Ovis aries: one gene and its partner. The protein of the gene in region 2 interacts with the protein of the main gene of each other region in a pairwise test. Links are inferred from orthologs where the notes say so. Each region holds a gene or a part of one and is shown on either strand. Other genes may lie near its edges. The genes, in order: RHOJ and PAK1.

Region 1 (9,496 bases), on a different chromosome or scaffold from region 2:
ATAGAACCAGAAGGGAAGCCCTTTCACATCTCTAAGGGATAGGCTATCTTTGACTTGAATTTTTCTGAATTCCTTGACTTCAGTTTTCCAAAGACTCAGTAAACTAGTTGCAGGTTGTCACTGCAGAATGAGCCAGAAGGACCCAGGGACTAGATACTGAATACTTCTCCACATGGAGAAGAGATCATGAGGTCTTCTACAGCTGACTGTGGATTTTCATGTGACTGTGTCAGGGTTTATGTTCAATCAGTTCATACATGAAGAGGATGGTGGTAAAGAGAGTTAGGGTCTTTGTGGTGGAGAAGATCTCTCTACTGATGAAAATGTTCACTTCATTGGGCTTCATATACAAAGGTGTATATGGCTCACATCTTTATTTCCCTTAAAGATGTGAGATATTGTGTACTTTAAAAAGGTACAAAGTGTAAGCTTGTGAGATACTGTGTACTTAAAAAATGTACAAAATGTAAAAGTAACAATGTTTGGGAGTGGCTACTATGAGCAAAAGAACTGTACAGAACTATATGAAGATCTTCACGACCCAGATAATCATGATGGTGTGATCACTCACCTAGAGCCAGACATCCTGGAATGTTAAGTCAAGTGGGCCTTAGGAAGCATCACTACGAACAAAGCTAGTGGAGGTGATGGAATTCCAGTTGAGCTGTTTCAAATCCTAAAAGATGATGCTGTCAAAGTGCTGCACTCAATATGTCAGCAAATTTGGAAACTCAGCAGTGGTCACAGGACTGGAAAAGGTCAGTTTTCATTCCACAGAAATGCAATGCCAAAGAATGCTCAAACTACCACACAATTGCACTCTTCTCACATGCTAGTAAAGTAATGCTCAAAATTCTCCAAACCAGCCTTCAGCAATACGTGAACCATGAACTTCCAGATGTTCAAGCTGTTTTTAGAAAAGGCAGAGGAACCAGAGATCAAATTGCCAACATCTGCTGGATCATGGAAAAAGCAAGAGAGTTCCAGAAAAACAACTATTTCTGCTTTACTGATGATGCCAAAGCCTTTGACTGTGTGGATCACAATAAACTGCGGAAAATTCTGAAAGAGATGGGAATATCAGACCCACCTGACCTGCCTCTTGAGAAATCTGTATGCAGGTCAGGAAGCAACAGTTAAAACTGGACGTGGAACAACAGTCTGGTTCCAAACAGGAAAAGGAGTATGTCAAAGCTGTATATTGTCACCCTGTTATTTAACTTATATGCAGAGTACATCATGAGAAACGCTGGGCTGGAAGAAGCACAAGCTGGAATCAAGATTGCTGGGAGAAATATCAATAACCTCAGATAGCAGATGACACCACCCTTATGGCAGAAAGTGAAGAACTAAAGAGCCTCTTGGTGAAAGTGAAAGAGGAGAGTGAAAAAGTTGGCTTAAAGCTCAACATTCAGAAAATGAAGATCATGGTATCTGGTCCCATCACTTCATGGGAAATACATGGGGAAACAGTGGAAACAGTGTCAGACTTTATTTTTTGGGGCTCCAAAATCACTGCAGATGGTGACTGCAGCCATGAAATTAAAAGACGCTTACTCCTTGGAAGAAAAGTTATGACCAACCTAGATAGCATATTTAAAAGCAGAGACATTGCTTTGTCAACAAAGGTCCCTCTAGTCAAGGCTATTGTTTTTCCAATAGTCATGTATGGATGTGAGCGTTGGACTATAAAGAAAGCTGAGCACCGAAGAACTGATGCTTTTGAAATACGGTGTTGGAAAAGACTCTTGAGAGTCCATTCGACTGCAAGGAGACCCAACCAGTCCATCCTAAAGGAGATCTGTCCTGGGTGTTCTTTGGAAGGACTGATGTTGAAGCTGAAACTCTAACATTTTGGCCACCTAATGTGAAGAGCTCACTCATTGGAAAAGACCCTGATGCTGGGAAAAATTGAGGGCAGGAGGAGAAGGGGATGACAGAGGATGAGATGGTTGGATGGCATCACCAATTCAATGGACATGAGTTTGGATAAACTCTGGGAGTTGGTGACGGACAGGGAGGCCTGGCGTGCTGTGGTTCATGGGGTTGCAAAGAGTCGGACACGACTGAGCGACTGGACTGAACTGAACTATGAGCAAAGTATTGCTTTGGTAATAGTGGCTGTGATATCTTGAGAGCTAAAACAAGGAATAGCCAAAATCTAGATGCTTTAATGCTCAAATAACAGCAAGTATGTATACAACTGAAACAAAATAATTTGTTCCTGGTGAAATCTAGAGGTGGTCCAGCCTTTGTTTCCTCTCTGATGTTTTTTATAGGCTGATTTTACCTCTAAAGACAATTTTATCCTTTTTCTTTCTGACACTGTGTTGTAATTGGTTTGCCCTAAAGTTGGAGATGGGATATGTAATTTAAAAAATTATTTATTTACTTATTTTAATTTTGCTGCGTTGGTTCTTAGTTACAGCATGTGGGATCTTTCAGTGCAGCTTGTGGGCCCTCTGGTTGTGGCATATGGGCTTAGTTGGCCATGGCATGCGGGATCTTAGCTCCCCAACCAATGAGTCCAATTCATTGCAAGGCAGATTCTTAACCACTGGACCACTAGAGAAATCCCACGGATAAGCAATTTTTAAAATCACTCGAAACCTTGTGGGTTCTATTTTTTTTTGTTAGCAGTTTTTGAAATTAGGTAGTCCTTTGGACTGTAAGGAGATCAAATCAGTCAATCCTAAAGGAAAGAACCCTGGCTATTCATTGGAAGGACTGATGCTGAAGGTGAAGCTCTGATACTCTGGCCACCTGATGCCAAGAACCAACTCATTGGAAAAGACCCTGGTGTTGGGAAAGACTGAGGGCAGGAGGAGAAGGGGATGACAGAGGATGAGATGGTTGGATGGCATCACTGACTCAATGGACGTGAATCTGAGCAAACTCCAGGAAATAGTGAAGGACAAGGAAGCCTGGCATGCTGCAGTCCAAGAGGTCACAAAGAGCTGGACAAGACTTAGTGTCTGGATGACAACAACAATCTGCCAGTTCCCTAGCCTGGCAGAAAGAGAATGTAGAATAAATAACCTTTGCTAAGATGTTTACAGTCAAGATCCTATTAATTTTCTTAAGTTGCAGACCTAATCTTACAATTAGATTTTTTTTTTTCTCTCCTCAGGGTGAAAGTCTGTCTGTACTTCTCTTCTTTCTGTTCTCATTAAAAGGTTCTTCTCTGGGCATGTATGTGTGTGTGCTTAGTTGCTCAGTCATGTCTGACTCTTTGTGACCCTATGGACTGTAGCCCACCAGGCTTGTCTGTCCATGGGATTTCCCAGGCAAGAATACTAGAGTGGGTTGCCATTCCCTTCTCCAGGGGATTTTCCCAATCCAGGGATCAAATTCAAGTCTCCCAAGTGCAAGCAGATTCTTTACCGTCTGAGCCACCAGGGAAACCCTTCTCTGGGCACAGCCATTAATTTCAGAAAAGCTTAAAGGAATTAGTGTTCAAATTTGCTCTTAATTTCTACAAATATAGAAAAACCTGTTAGAGAGTGGATGCTATTTTCACTGTGGTTTTCTCCCTGACTGCTATGTAATAGTGTCATAAATCAGGTACATCTAGCAGGAGGAGGAGACGTAGGTGACTGTTTAGTTCTAGAAAAGAAGCTACTTCCTATAGAAAGGATTTCAAATAGCCTCACAGCAAAGCCAGCACTCAAACAGGTTTCCTGTGGGCTATTTCCCCTCTGCTGCTCTGGACCCAAAGCCAAAGTGAAGAAGAGAAATTTCCCTATCACAAAATCTCAAATCTGGTAACTCAAGCTGATCTTATAGTGATCAAGCAGTTCATCATATTCCAAAAAGTTGTAAAATCTGGGCTATTGTAAATTGAAACATTTTGTGAATTTGCTTTTAAGAAGTTTAATCGGATTTACTTTAGAGATTAAGAGAAAAATAAGAGTCAAAGTGGAAAAAATTAGATAAGCGATCACATGAGAAACTTTGGAACACTCAATATAACCAAAAGAATTAAGCTGTTACTACAGTATCTTAACTGTCAGACCTTAAAATATTTTATGCCATATTTTGTACTTTCGGGACATATGTTGAAATAATTAAGAAATTTTATATTAATCTTTATTTTTACTTTTAAAACATATTGATTAAAAACCTCTTTTAATTCAAAATACAGATTGCCTAACAGATATTTAAAATCTTTGAATACTTTTTCTTCAATCTACTTCCACAGGAAAATGAAAGTACATCAGGATAGCACCAATTGTTATGGAAAAATGAATGTTCTAATACTACTAATTTCAGCATTTCATTTATAAATGGCATGGGGTGAATATATGAGAAGTGGCAAGAACACTTCTTTCACCAGTTGTGTAACTAGTGGGTTTTTTTTTTTTTTGTAAAAGAGAATTGTGACGCACCACATCGTTAATCAGCTATACCCCAATACAAAATAAAAAGGTAAAAAGAACTGCGATGCAATTACAGTACATTTTATAATGTTCACATTAAAGAAAGTTGATGAATCTTCAGGCAAATATTAAGTAACATTTCTAGCCCCAAAGTCTAGACGGCAATGCTGCGTATTTCTCCAGCATTATTCATTTGGTTTAAGTGGAGAAAAGGGTTACAGTAAAAGTGATATACAGGTTGTTCTAACAACCACAAAGACCTTGGTTGCTGTGACGCCCAGCTACCTGGCTTGCGCCAGGCCTGCACCCAGGACTGGCAGTGGAGATAAGCCAGGCCCCTCTGAAGCAGGGATGTTACCTCCCACACCTGTGACGCAGGGGTGGGTTTCCCACTTTTCTTACCTGCGTAGTGATCGAACACAGTGGGCACGTACTCCTCGGGGAAGGCGTCGTTGGCGTAGCTCATCAGCAGGCAGGTCTTGCCCACGGCACCGTCCCCCACCACCACACACTTGAGCATCTTTTTCTCCTCGTGGCCACCGCAGCCGCAGCTGCTGTCATTTCCCTCCTGGCAGTTCATGCTCGCGGCTGCAGCTGCTGTGACTGTGCTGTGGCTGTTGCTTCTCCCACTTCTTCCAAAGCCCATGAAGCCCGTGGCAGGCTTGAGATCACTCTGTCTTACTCTGGGTAACTGGGACCCTGCAGGCTCGTCCGAGGTGGCTGGCACATGCCCTTTCACTTACCATACTGATCAGGACAGGTAGCACACTGGGGAGGGTGATTAAAAGCATCTGTCCCTTTCCCCCATCAGTTCAAGTTAAGAAATCCTCATCTTCACCGAATTATAGGGCATTCCTGGGAGTCCTGAAATTTCAGCAGCTAGAGGGTTTCACTTTGGTCCCCTGTTCTCCAAGCCAGAGGGAAGACACTGTGGAATTTTGCTAAATCTTCCCCGTTTTCCACTTCACATCTAACATGGAGGAAAGCTGGGCTTTTTAAATGGAGTTTTGCCTTGCTTCCTCCAGCTTGCCGAGTGTCAGGAAATCATGGGTTTCCTGCTGCATTCCATATTAGGATCAGTGGGCTGGAGAAGGCTGCAACAATGGGAGCTCTGTGTGTGTGTGTTTGTACTTCTGGGGAACGCTGCCAGGACATGGAGTGGGAAAACACTAGGGGTCCCACTGCAGACTCAAGCTGTCAGACTTCCTGTTTCATCCAGGGCTGGAGAGCCTGTTTGCCTCTGGCTGGCTGGGAAGAGGCTGACGAAAGGATGAAAACCCCGGAGTCCTGTCTGCCACAGAAACATGGGGAACCACACCAGCCGTTGTAGGATAATATATGACATCATTCCTCACTGAGTCACCAGTTGAAAGCTCTGCAAATTAAAACTGGACAGTTCTTCACATACTTAAACAAGAAACCGTAAGAAATTTGTCCTGGCAATAAAGAAGAAAACCTTCCAGAGTTTCACTGTTTCAAAGGGAAATGTTCTTGTAGATTGTAGGTTTAAGATGTGTGATCAGGTTTATAAGCTGCCACATTTGAGCTCAACACTCGTACGTGTATTCCAGACACAAACATTTTTATGGTTGTAGCACATAAGAAATCAATCAGATGTGGGATGTTTGCATCTTCTTATTAGCGAATAAACACACATGTCTTGGCTCACCCTTACTTTTGGAAATGAGAGTATGTGGGACAGCTTTATTGGTTTGTTTCAGGTCTCCAAACGCTGCTTTTTCTTGAACAGTTCCATTTTTGATTTAGTCTTCTCCCTTTGGTCAGCCTGGTCCTCTTCAATTACAAAGGAGCCATTGGCACCTAATTTATTTGTCTGTTGGGTCACTCAAAATGAAGCCCCTTTGAAGCACTGAGTGTGATTAATGTACTCAATCTTAGAAAAGCAGTGGAACTCTGCAAGTGTTTCTGACAAATGGGTCAAGTACGTTTTTGATGCAGGAACTGTGTGTTTCTTTGAGATTTTTGAGAATTGATTTTAAGAATTCAGATTATCCAATTGATTTGAGGAGGTTTTTTTTTTCTCCCCAGGGGTAGGGTGAGAAGTCTGTTTTAATGAGTGGCTATAAAGAATTCTCCTGCCAATGCAGGAGATGCAAGAGATGTGGTTTGATTCTTGGGTCAGGAAGATCCCCTGGAGTAGGAAATGGCAAACCACTCTAGTATTCTTGCCTGGAAAATTCCTTGGACAGGGGAGCCTGGTGTACTATAGCCCATGGGGTTGCAAAAGTCGAACACAACTGAGCACATGTGCACTTACTCATGCATCAATAATATATATATCCACATACATATGCTACTGTAGAACCAATATATTCTCATATTTCTTCTGTGTTGGATTGTAGTAACACTTCCCATAGTGTTTAGTGTCCCAATATTTCTTTTCTATAAGGAGATGATGTTTTGGTTAGGTTGTTGTGTTTCTACCAAATTATATTGCTATAGCAACTCCCAATGCTCAGTAATTTAAAATAACATCTATTTCAATGAGGTATCACTTCACACCTGTTAGAATGGCTATCATAAAAAGTTTACAAGCAGCAAGTGTTGGTAAGGAAGTGGAGAAAAGGGAACCTTTGTACAATGTTGGTGCAAATGTAAATTGGTGCTGTCACTATGAAAAACAGTATAGAGTTTCCTCAAAAATGTAAAAGAGTTACCATGGCGGTGGTGGTTTCATCGCTAAGTTATGTCTGACTCTTGCGACCCCGTAGACTGTAGCCCTCTAGGCTCCTGTGTCTATAGGATTTTCCAGGCAAGCATACTGGAGTGGGTTGCCATTTCCTTCTCCAGGGGATCTTCCTGACTCAGGGATTGAACCTGGGTCTCCTGCACTGCAGCAGTTTCTTTACTGACTGAGGTACCAGGGAAGCCCAAAAAAGGCCAAAGAAATATGTATAGACCTTATTTAAAAAGTAAGGCTGTTGTAAAAATGACATCAATAGACTTGCTTGACACAGAGTTACCATCAGTTCAGTTCAGTTCAGTTCATTTCAGTCGCTCAGTCGTGTCCGACTCTTTGAGACCCCATGAATCGCAGCATGCCAGGCCTCCCTGTCCATCACCATCTCCCGGAGTTCACTCAGACTCACGTCCATTGAGCCCGTGATGCCATCCAGCGATCTCATCCTCTGTTGTCCCCTTCTCCTCCTGCCCCCAATCTCTCCCAGCATCAGAGTCTTTTCCAATGAGTCAACTCTTCGCATGAGGTGGCCAAGGTACTGGAGCTTCAGCTTTAGCATCATTCCTTCCAAAGAAATCCCAGGGTTGATCTCCTTCAGAATGGACTGGTTGGATCTCCTTGCAGTCCAAGGGACTCTCAAGAGTCTTCTCCAACACCACATTTCAAAAGCATCAGTTCTTCGGCGCTCAGCCTTCTTCACAGTCCAACTCTCACAGCCATACATGACCACAGGAAAAACCATAGCCTTGACTAGACAGACCTTAGTCAGCAAAGTAATGTCTCTGCTTTTGAATATACTATCTAGGTTGATCATAACTTTTCTTCCAAGGAGTAAGTGTCTTTTAATTTCATGGCTGCAGTCACCATCTGCAGTGATCTTGGAGCCCCCCAAAATAAAGTCTGATACTGTTTCCACTGTTTCCCCATGTATTTCCCATGAAGTGGTGGAACCAGATGCCATGATCTTCGTTTTCTGAATGTTGAGCTTTAAGCCAACTTTTTCGCTTTCCTTTTTCACTTTCATCAAGAGGCTTTTGAGTTCCTCTTCACTTTCTGCCATAAGGGTGGTATCATCTGCATATCTGAGGTTATTGATATTTCTCCCGGCAATCTTGATTCCAGCTTGTGTTTCTTCCAGTCCAGCGTTTCTCATGATGTACTCTGCATATAAGTTAAATAAGCAGGGTGACAATATACAGCCTTGACATACTCCTTTTCCTATTTGGAACCAGGCTGTTGTTCCATGTCCAGTTCTAACTGTTGCTTGCTGACCTGCATACAGATTTCTCAAGAGGCAGGTTAGGTGGTCTGGTATTCCCATCTCTTTCAGAATTTTCCACAGTTTATTGTGATCCACACAGTCAAAGGCTTTGGCATAGTTAATAAAGCAGAAATAGATGTTTTTCTGGAACTCTCTTGCTTTTTCCATGATCCAGCAGATGTTGGCAATTTGATCTCTGGTTCCTCTGCCTTTTCTAAAACCAGCTTGAACATCTGGAAGTTCACGGTTCACGTATTGCTGAAGCCTGGCTTGGAGTATTTTGAGCATTACTTTACTAGCATGTGAGGTGAGTGCAATTGTGCGGTAGTTTGAGCATTCTTTGGCATTGCCTTTCTTTGGGATTGGAATGAAAACTGACCTTTTCCAGTCCTGTGGCCATTGCTGAGCTTTCCAAATTTGCTGACATATTGAGTGCAGCACTTTGACAGCATCATCTTTCAGGATTTGAAACAGCTCAACTGGAATTCTGTCACCTCCGCTAGCTTTGTTCATAGTGATGCTTTCTAAGGCCCACTTGACTTCACTTTCCAAGATGTCTGGCTCTAGATTAGTGATCACATCATCATGATTATCTGGGTCGTAAAGATCTTTTTTGTATAGTTCTTCTATGTATTCTTGCCACCTCTTCTTAATATTTTCTGCTCCTGTTAGGTCCATACCATTTCTGTCCTTTATCCAGCCCATCCTTGCATGAAATGTTCCCTTGGTATCTCTGATTTTCTTGAAGAGATCTCTAGTCTTTCCCATTCTGTTGTTTTCCTCTATTTCTTTGCATTGATTGCTGAGGAAGGCTCTCTTATCTCTTCTTGCTATTCTTTGGAACTCTGCATTCAGATGCTTATATCTTTCCTTTTCTCCTTTGCTTTTCGGCTCTCTTTTTTTCACAGCTATTTGTAAGGCCTCCCCAGACAGCCATTTTGCTTTTTTGCATTTCTTTTCCATGGGGATGGTCTTGATCCCTGTCTCCTGTACAGTGTCATGAACCTCTGTCCATAGTTCATCAGGCACTCTATCTATCAGATCTAGGCCCTTAAATCTATTTCTCAATTCCACTGTATAATCATAAGGGATTTGATTTAGGTCATACCTGAATGGTCTAGCGGTTTTCCCTATTTTCTTCAATTTGAGTCTGAA
Region 2 (8,797 bases):
CCATCTTGGTTCTCTAATATGAAGCCATATCCTGGGAAAGATAAAGAAAAACATCATACTAAACCTTTTAAAGCAATCTGAACTTTATTTCATAAGTGTTTACACAAACACTATCTCATTTAATGACCACAATAACTCTGGGTAATAGGCAGAGCAAGAATTATCATCCCCATTTCACAGATAAAGTCCTAAAACATAAAGAGATATGCTTGGGATTGTGCTGTTTACACAAGCTTATGTCCTCTGACTTTGATCCCAGTCTCATTTCTGTTACTACTAATCATCATCATTTTCAAGGCCACTCTAAGGTGGAGGAAGATGAGTGGCATGTGGATCCACAGGGCAATACTGGGAGGCAAGGAAAGAAACTATGGAAGGTAGTTTCAGTTTGGTACACTAAAACACTTTTCAATAATCAGGGCTATCCAAGAGGTAACTGGCTAAAACTACATGACTGTTGATTAGCGACAAAACTCTGGGAATTCTTGCACTGAGTGAGAGGTTGGAATAAATAACAAAATAAAAACAATCAGAATAACTCTCACATTTGCCCATGATCAAAATTATCAACCTACTTGTATCTGTATTCACTTACACTGCTTTCCCTCTCCTATTATAATAACAAACTGTCCAAGTTCTAATTTGATGATCTTTACTTCAGTACTTCATCCAACCCCCCGATCTACTTAACGATATCACTATCTCTCCTACAGACGTCACATCCCTCTTGTACATGACCATTTTCCTCTCTACTAGATAATTCTCATCAGCACAAAAACATGCTATGATAATATCATCTTCAAAACAAAAAACAAAAAAAGAAAACCCCCCTAGTCGCTACTTCAAGATATGGCTCCACTCACTTCTCTGTTAGCATAACTGCAAAATTCCTCTGAAAGAAAACGATGAAAAGTAACTGCTTATACATGTCATTTCTTCACTCTGGTGGATTTACTCTAATCAGGCTTTTGTTCCCATCACTCCAGTGAAACTGACTGTCAAAGTCATCAACAACCTTCACACAGGCAAATCTAATGATCATTACTTCGCATTGGCTTAAATGCAACTTAGTCACATTTGACACACTGGTCCATCCTCCTTCTCAAAACACTTGTCCTCTTGGCCTCCAGGACACATCTCTCAGTTCTCCTTCTACCAGGAAGGCTGCCCATTGATCAACTTTGCTGGTTCCTCTAATTTGTAAATATGAGAGTATCCCAGGTCTCAGTACTACCTCTTTCCCTAAGTGTGTGATCTCATTATCATCTACCTCTGATTTTTAAATAAACCAACCATATAATACCTACTAATAAATTTGTATTTCGAGTCCTGAATGCTCACTCTTGAACTCTGAACTCTTATGCCCAATTCTACTCAATACCTCCATTTAAGATGTCTAATAAACATTTTAACTTAACATGGTCAGAACCTTGTCCACTCTGCTCACTCACTTCAGGGACATTAGTCTCCTTGGTTTTCCCAAGGATGTATCAAGTATGTTCTCTAAACAAGTTCTTTATACACTTGATAACTTGAAAATTCTTACTTCAGATTAATCTCAAAACTCATTCCTTTTTTCAGTTTTCTTTTTACTTTTTCATTCCTTTTTTTTCTTCAGATGTCTCCTCAGATAACTTATAAGAGAGGAATTCATTCTCCACCTAGAATAAAACAGCATACTTCTCTGTCCTTCCTCCTCTTACTCTCTTAAGCCCCTTACTATTTCTTTCACAGCTCTTATCTTCTGTTACTATATATTAATTTGTTTTATTATTATCACAACAGTTTCTTGCCCATTAGAACTCAAATAATCACTGAATATATGAATGAATGACTGCTAATTTACATTTTCTTTAAGCATGTATACTTTATCACTGCCTAGTTTGATCCAGAAAAGAGAAATCCAACAGCCCAAACATCTTGATATGGGACTAGTAACACTCACTCTCAGAGGGTTTTCGTTGAGGTATGGGGGCTCTCCTTCAATCATTTCAATGGCCATGATGCCCAAGGACCAAATGTCAACCTTAGGCCCATAGGCTTTCCGGGTCACAACCTCTGGTGCCATCCAGTATGGTGTTCCCACCATGGTGCTGCGTTTGCTCTGCTCTGGGGTGATCTGAGCACAAAATCCAAAATCAGCTGAAAAAGAAAAGACAGAAGCGGTTCATATGCAGAGTGTTTCTTCTGTAAATACTGTGTGCCTACCCCAAGGTATCAAGCTCTGCCAGTGTCCTAACCACTACATCCCTTGTCTCTCCAAAGCTGGAGTCACATAACTGCCACCTTCATATCCAGCTCCTAGGCTGTGCCCTGGTCAGACTTTAAGGAGGCACATGAAACATCATTTCTGCCTTCCTACTCCTCCTCAAACCATAAACATTAGCATTAAAGGCTAAGCTGCCCATTTTGACATTTATTACCTACCCAAATTCTGCTTTCTTCCTGAAAACCATCCCCATATACCAGTATCTGGTTACTAGGTCCTTATTTAATTTCTCAGGCATGAAACCCTAATCATCTACAACTAGGCATGAAAAAATGTGGTCCACTAGAGAAGGGAATGGCAAACCACTTGAGTCTTCTTGCTTTGAGAACCCCATGAACAATATGAAAAGCCAAAAAGATAGGATACTGAAAGACGAACTCCCCAGGTCTGTAGGTGTCCCATATGCTACTGAAGATCAGTGGAGAAACAATTCCAGAAAGAATGAAAAGACGGAGCCAAAGCAAAAACAACACCCACCTGTGGATGTGACTAGTAATAGAAGCAAAGTCCGATGCAGTAAACAGCACTATTACATAGGAACCTGGAATGTTATGTCCATGAATTAAGGCAAATTGGAAGTGGTCAAACAGGAGATGGCAAGAGTGAACATAGGCATTTTAGTAGTCATCAAACTAAAATGGACAGGAATGGGTGAATTTAACTCAGATGACCATTTTATCTATTGTTGTGGGCAAGAATCCCATAGGAAAAATGGGGTCACCATCACAGTCAACAAAAGACTCCGAAATACAGTATTTAGGTGCAATCTCAAAAATGACAGATTGATCTCTGTTTGTTTCCAAGGCAAACCATTCAATATCACGGTAATCCAAGCCTATGCCCCAACCAGTAAGGCTGAAGAAGCTGAAGTTGAATGGTTCTATGAAGACCTACAAGACCTTCTAGAACTAACACCCAAAAAAGATGTCCTTTTCATTATAGGGGACTGGAATGCAAAAGTAGGAAGTCAAGAAACACCTGGAGTAACAGGCAAATTTGGCCTTGGAGTACAGAATGAAGCAGGGCAAAGGCTAATAGAATTTTGCCAAGAGAATTCACTGGTCATAGCAACACCCTCTTCCAACAGCACAAGAGAAGACTCTACACATGGACATTACCAGATGGTCAATACCAAAATCAGATTGATTATATTCTTTGCAGCCAAAGAAGGAGAAGCTCTATACAGTCAGCAAAAACAAGACCAGGAGCTGACTGTGCTCAGATCATGAACTCCTTATTGCCAAACTCAGACTTAAATTGAAGAAAGTAGGGAAAACCACAAGACCATTCAGGTATGACCTAAATCAAATCCCTTATGATTATACAGTGGAAGTGACAAATAGACCCAAGGGATTAGATCTGATAGAGTGCCTGAAGAACTATGGAAGGATGTTTGTGACATTGTACAGAAGACAGGAATCAAGACCATCCCCAAGAAAAAGAAATACAAAAAGGCAAAATGGCTGCCTGAGAAGGCCTTACAAATAGTTGTGAAAAGAAGAGAAGTAAAAAGCAAATGAGAAAATCAAAGATATACCCATTTGAATGAAGAGTTCCAAAGAATAACAAGGAGAAGAAAGCCTTCCTCAGATATCAGTGCAAAGAAATAAAGGAAAACAACAGAATGGGAAAGACTAACGATCTCTTCAAGAAAATTAGATATACGAAGGTAACGTTTCATGCAAAGATGGGCACAGTAAATGAGAGAAGCAGAAGATATTAAGAAGAGGTAGCAAGAATATACACAAGAACTATACAAAAAAGATCTCCATGACCCAGATAATCATGATGGTATGACCACTGACCTAGAGCCAGACATCCTGGAATGTGAAGTCAAGTGAGCCTTAGGAAGCATCATTACGAACAAAGTTAGTGGAGATGATGGAATTCCAGTTGAGCTGTTTCAAATCCTGAAAGATGATGCTGTGAAAGTGCTGCACTCAACATGCCCGCATATTAGGAAAACTCAGCAGTGGCCACGGCACTGGAAAAGGTCAGTTTTCATTCCAATCCCAAAGAAAGGCAATGCCAAAGAATGTTCAAACTAATGCACAGTTGCACTCATCTCATATGCTAGTAAAGTAATGCTCAAAATTCTCCAAGCCAGGCTTCAACATGCATGAACTGTGAACTTCCAGATGTTCAAGCTGGTTTTAGAAAAGGCAGAGGAATCAGAGATCAAACTGGCAACATCCATTAGATCATCGAAAAAGCAAGAGAGTTCCAGAAAAACATCTACTTCTGCTTTACTGACTACACCAAAGACTCTGAGTATGTGGATCACAACAAACTGTGGAAAATTCTGAAAGAGATGGGAATACTAGACCACCGAACCTACCTCTTGGACATCTATATGCAACAGTTAGAACTGCACATGGAAGAACAGACTGGTTCCAAATAGGAAAAGGAATATGTCAAGGCTGTATATTGTCACTCTATTTATTTAATTTATATGCAGAGTACATCATGCAAAATGCCGGGCTAGATGAAGCACAAGCTGGAATCAAGATTGCCGGGACAAATATCAATCACCTCTGATACGCAGATGACACTACCCTTATAGCAGAAAGCAAAGAAAAACTAAAGAGCCTCTTGATGAAAGTGAAAGAGGAGAGTGAAAAAGTTGGCTTAAAACTCAACATTCGGAAAACTAACATCATGGCATCTGGTTCCATCACTTCATGGCAAATAGATGGGGAAACAGTAATATTTTGGGGGGCTCCAAAATCACTGCAGATGGTAACTTCAGCCATGAAATTAAAAGACACTTGCTCCTTGAAAGAAAAGTTATTACCAACCTAGATAACATATTATAATAAAAGCTGAGACATTACTTTGCCGACAAAAGTTCCATCTAGTCAAAGCTATGGTTTTTCCACCAGTCAAGTACGGATGTGAGAGTTGGACTATAAAGAAAGCTGAGTGCTGAAGAATTGATGTTTCTGAACTATGGTGTTGGAGAAGACTCTTGAAAGTCCCTTGGACTACAAGGAGATCCAACAAGTCCATCCTAAAGGAAATCAGTCCTGAATATTCATTGAAAGGACTGATGCTGAAGCTGAAACTCCAATACTTTGTCCACCTGATGTGAAGAACTGACTCCTTGGAAAAGACCCTGATGCTGGGAAAGATTGAAGGCAGGAGAAGGAAACGACAGAGGATGAGATGGTTGGATGGCATCACTGACTTGATGGACATGAGTTTGAGCAAGTTCCAGAGTTGGTGATAGACAGGGAGGCCTGGTGTGCTGCAGTCCATAGGGTCGCAATAAGTTGGACACGACTGAGCGACTGAACTGAACTGAGGCATGACCCTGCTTTAATAAGTTCCTCCTCTTGTGCCCCAGGGTAGAGACTGCAAACAGTCCTCCCATAAGCTGCCCATCCACCTGTGACACAATCTCTTTCTCTGGATTCTTGGTCCTTACACTTCTGAACAGAATGTTCTGCCTGCAGTTATATTATATTGCTATTATATGTTCACTTAATTACGAGGCCTTCAATAAGAACTGTGTGTTCTTACTCACATTTTTCATTCTCAGATGGCCAACCACATAAACAGACATTTTATAAAAGTTTGCTAAATGAATGACTGAATGAAAGTTATTACACTAAACTCTCTTTTCTAATTATGTATTTTATGTTTCCCATAGTAGGTTGAGAACTACTTAAATATAGGCAAAAGTATCCTTGTTGCCCATCACAATAAATGTTTTTCATTTAATGTATAAATGAGTGGGGGGGAAATGTCATCCTATATAGTGCTGAGTAACATAAAGTGCCGGCATATCCAAGGAAATAGATTCTTTGGTGAGTCTTGTAGCTACTCTCATAGGATTACCATCCCAGAGGAGACAGGGTCTCAGAGAGAAGAGAAGTGATTATCACTCCTACTCACTTAGCTTGACAGAGCCATCCATTCCCAACAGGATGTTGTCACTCTTGATGTCTCTATGAATAACTTGGTTTGAATGCAGAAACTCCAAAGCTTGCAGGCACTGTTGAAGTGATGTGGGCAAAAGGAGAGAGAAAGGACAAATAATTATGAAGACTTACAGAAAATCACTAATCCAACCTCCTCATTTTATGATAACAAAAGTGAGACCCCAGTGAGTAAAAGAACTTACTCCAAATAAATGGAAGAGGCAGGTCTAAAATCCAGTCTCTTGTCTCATTACTAAACATACTTTTTTTTTTTTAATATTTGGTGTTGCCTCATACTTTTCTTATAAGATACTTGACCACAGTGTATTATAACATAGCTTATAACAGTTTTAGGTACAGGAATTCCTCCAAAGTATTTTAGAATTGTTTACAGAACGTTAGCACCTTGACAAAGAACCCAAGGCAAAAAAAAAATACTGAGGAAGAATGGAAAGGAATTTGTAAAGAAAAAACTACAGGAAAATGACAAATAACAGTCACATTTGGGAAACTAAACAAATGGAAAGATACTAGAAGCCGTGAATTTAGGAAGATAATCTTATTTTGGTGAGGTAGTTTGTACTGTTTGCTGTATTCTGCTTTTTACATTCCCATAAACATCTGCAGACAAATGTCCAGCAGGCAACTGCAGGTGTGAATCTTGAGTGCTGTAGAGAAGCTGGACTTGAAATAAACGTTTACAAGTCTTTCAAGTTATGGTAATAGTTGAAATTGGCAAATGCTACAGTAAAGAAAGAAGAAAGAAAAGAACCTTGGAAAACACACAGACTCAATAGGCAGAATGAATAATATAGAGACTGAAAAGAATAATAAAAATGCCTGGTTCTGACCAATAAAATTATTTTAGACAAATCTCTTATTCCCTCTGGGCTACTGTCTTCCCATCTGTAAAAGGTGAGGGTCAGAAAAGATGCTATAAAGGTTACTACTAAATCTATTAGGAAGTTCATAACCCAAAGCTAAAATTTAGAGGCTTCCACCAATTAAAAAACATGAAAAAGATGCAAACCAATTAGAGGACAGTACTGAAATATTCTCAGCTTAATACTTTACTTTCTAAGAATACATCAATGGCTAAATTAAAAACAAACCAATATCCAGAAGCGGCTTTTCCCTGGAAAAGTAAGACCTGTTTTCCTAAGGAGGCTGGAGACTTTGGCCTCTGGATGTCAAAAATTATAAACAGAAAGGATGATTTCTAGAAATTGGAACCATCATGCATTGCTGGTAGGAATATAAAATGGTACAGCCACTGTGGTAAACATCTTGGCCAGTCCTCAAAATATTAAACATAAAGTCTCTACATGACCAGAAGATCCGCTCCTAGGCACATACCCAAGAGAAGTAAAAACATATTCAACCAACAACTTATCCATGAATGTTCACAACACTATCCATAAGAGTCAAAAAGTAGAAATTACCCAAATGTCCATCAGCTGATGGACAGGCAAATAAACAGAATCTTACTTGTTAATAAAAGGACATATGCTATAGAACAGATGAGCCTTCAAAATATTACACTAAGCAAAATGAGCCAATCAGAACACATCACCTTTATATGAAATACCTGGAATAAGCAAATCAACAGAGACACAAAATAGACTAGTGGCTGCATAGGGCTGGAAGGGATGGGAAACAGGCTGGGCGGGGGCAGCAGGATGGGGTGACTGCTAATAGGTATGGAGTTTCTTTTTCAGTTCAGTTCAGTTGCTCACTTGTGTCTGACTCTTTGCAACCCCATGGACTGCAGCACGCCAGGCTTCCCTGTCCATCACCAACTCCCGGAGCTTGCTCAAACTCATGTCCATCAAGTCGGTGATGCCATCCAACCATCTCATCCTCTGTCGTTTCCTTCTCCTGCCTTCAATCTTTCCCAGCATCAGGGTCTTTTCCAAGGAGTCAGTTCTTCACATCAGGTGGACAAAGTATTGGAGTTTCAGCTTCAGCATCAGTCCTTTCAATGAGTATTCAGGACTGATTTCCTTTAGGATGGACTTGTTGGATCTCCTTGTAGTCCAAGGGACTTTCAAGAGTCTTTTCCAATGCCACAGTTCAAAAGCATCAATTCTTCAGCACTCAGCTTTCTTTATAGTCCAACTCTCACATCCATACTTGACTAGTGGAAAAACCATAGCTTTGACTAGATGGAACTTTTGTCGGCAAAGTAATATCTCAGCTTTTATTTTAATATGCTGTCTACGTTGGTAATAACTTTTCTTTCAAGGAGCAAGTGTCTTTTAATTTCATGGCTGAAGTCACCATTTGCAGTGGTTTTGGAGACCAAAAAAATAGTCCGTTATTTCCCCATCTATTTGCCATGAAGTGATGGAACCAGATGCCATGATGTTAGTTTTCTAAATGTTGAGTTTTAAACCAACTTTTTCACCCTGCTCTTTCACTTTCATCAAGAGGCTCTTTAGTTCTTCACTTTCTGCCATAAGGGTGGTATCATCTCCATTTCTGAGGTGATTGATATTTCTCCCAGCAATCTTGATTCCAGCTTGTGCTTCATCTAGCCCGGCATTTTGCATGATGTACTCTGCATATAAGTTAAATAAGACGGTGACAATATACAGCCTTGACG

The links.
Region 1: the proteins of PAK1 (region 2) and RHOJ interact in binary tests that used the Homo sapiens proteins (3 or more experiments, as listed by UniProt). The link is inferred for Ovis aries from reciprocal best matches to the Homo sapiens genes PAK1 and RHOJ.

The regions. Positions count from the first base shown.
Region 1 is NC_056060.1:73,554,423-73,563,918, reverse strand, and holds the start of RHOJ (rho-related GTP-binding protein RhoJ), read right to left. Parts: upstream 5,377-9,496; 5' UTR 5,026-5,376; coding exon 4,782-5,025; intron 1-4,781.
Region 2 is NC_056074.1:16,253,042-16,261,838, reverse strand, and holds part of PAK1 (serine/threonine-protein kinase PAK 1), read right to left. Parts: intron 6,267-8,797; coding exon 6,167-6,266; intron 2,143-6,166; coding exon 1,946-2,142; intron 1-1,945. UniProt on the Homo sapiens protein: Protein kinase involved in intracellular signaling pathways downstream of integrins and receptor-type kinases that plays an important role in cytoskeleton dynamics, in cell adhesion, migration, proliferation, apoptosis, mitosis, and in vesicle-mediated transport processes.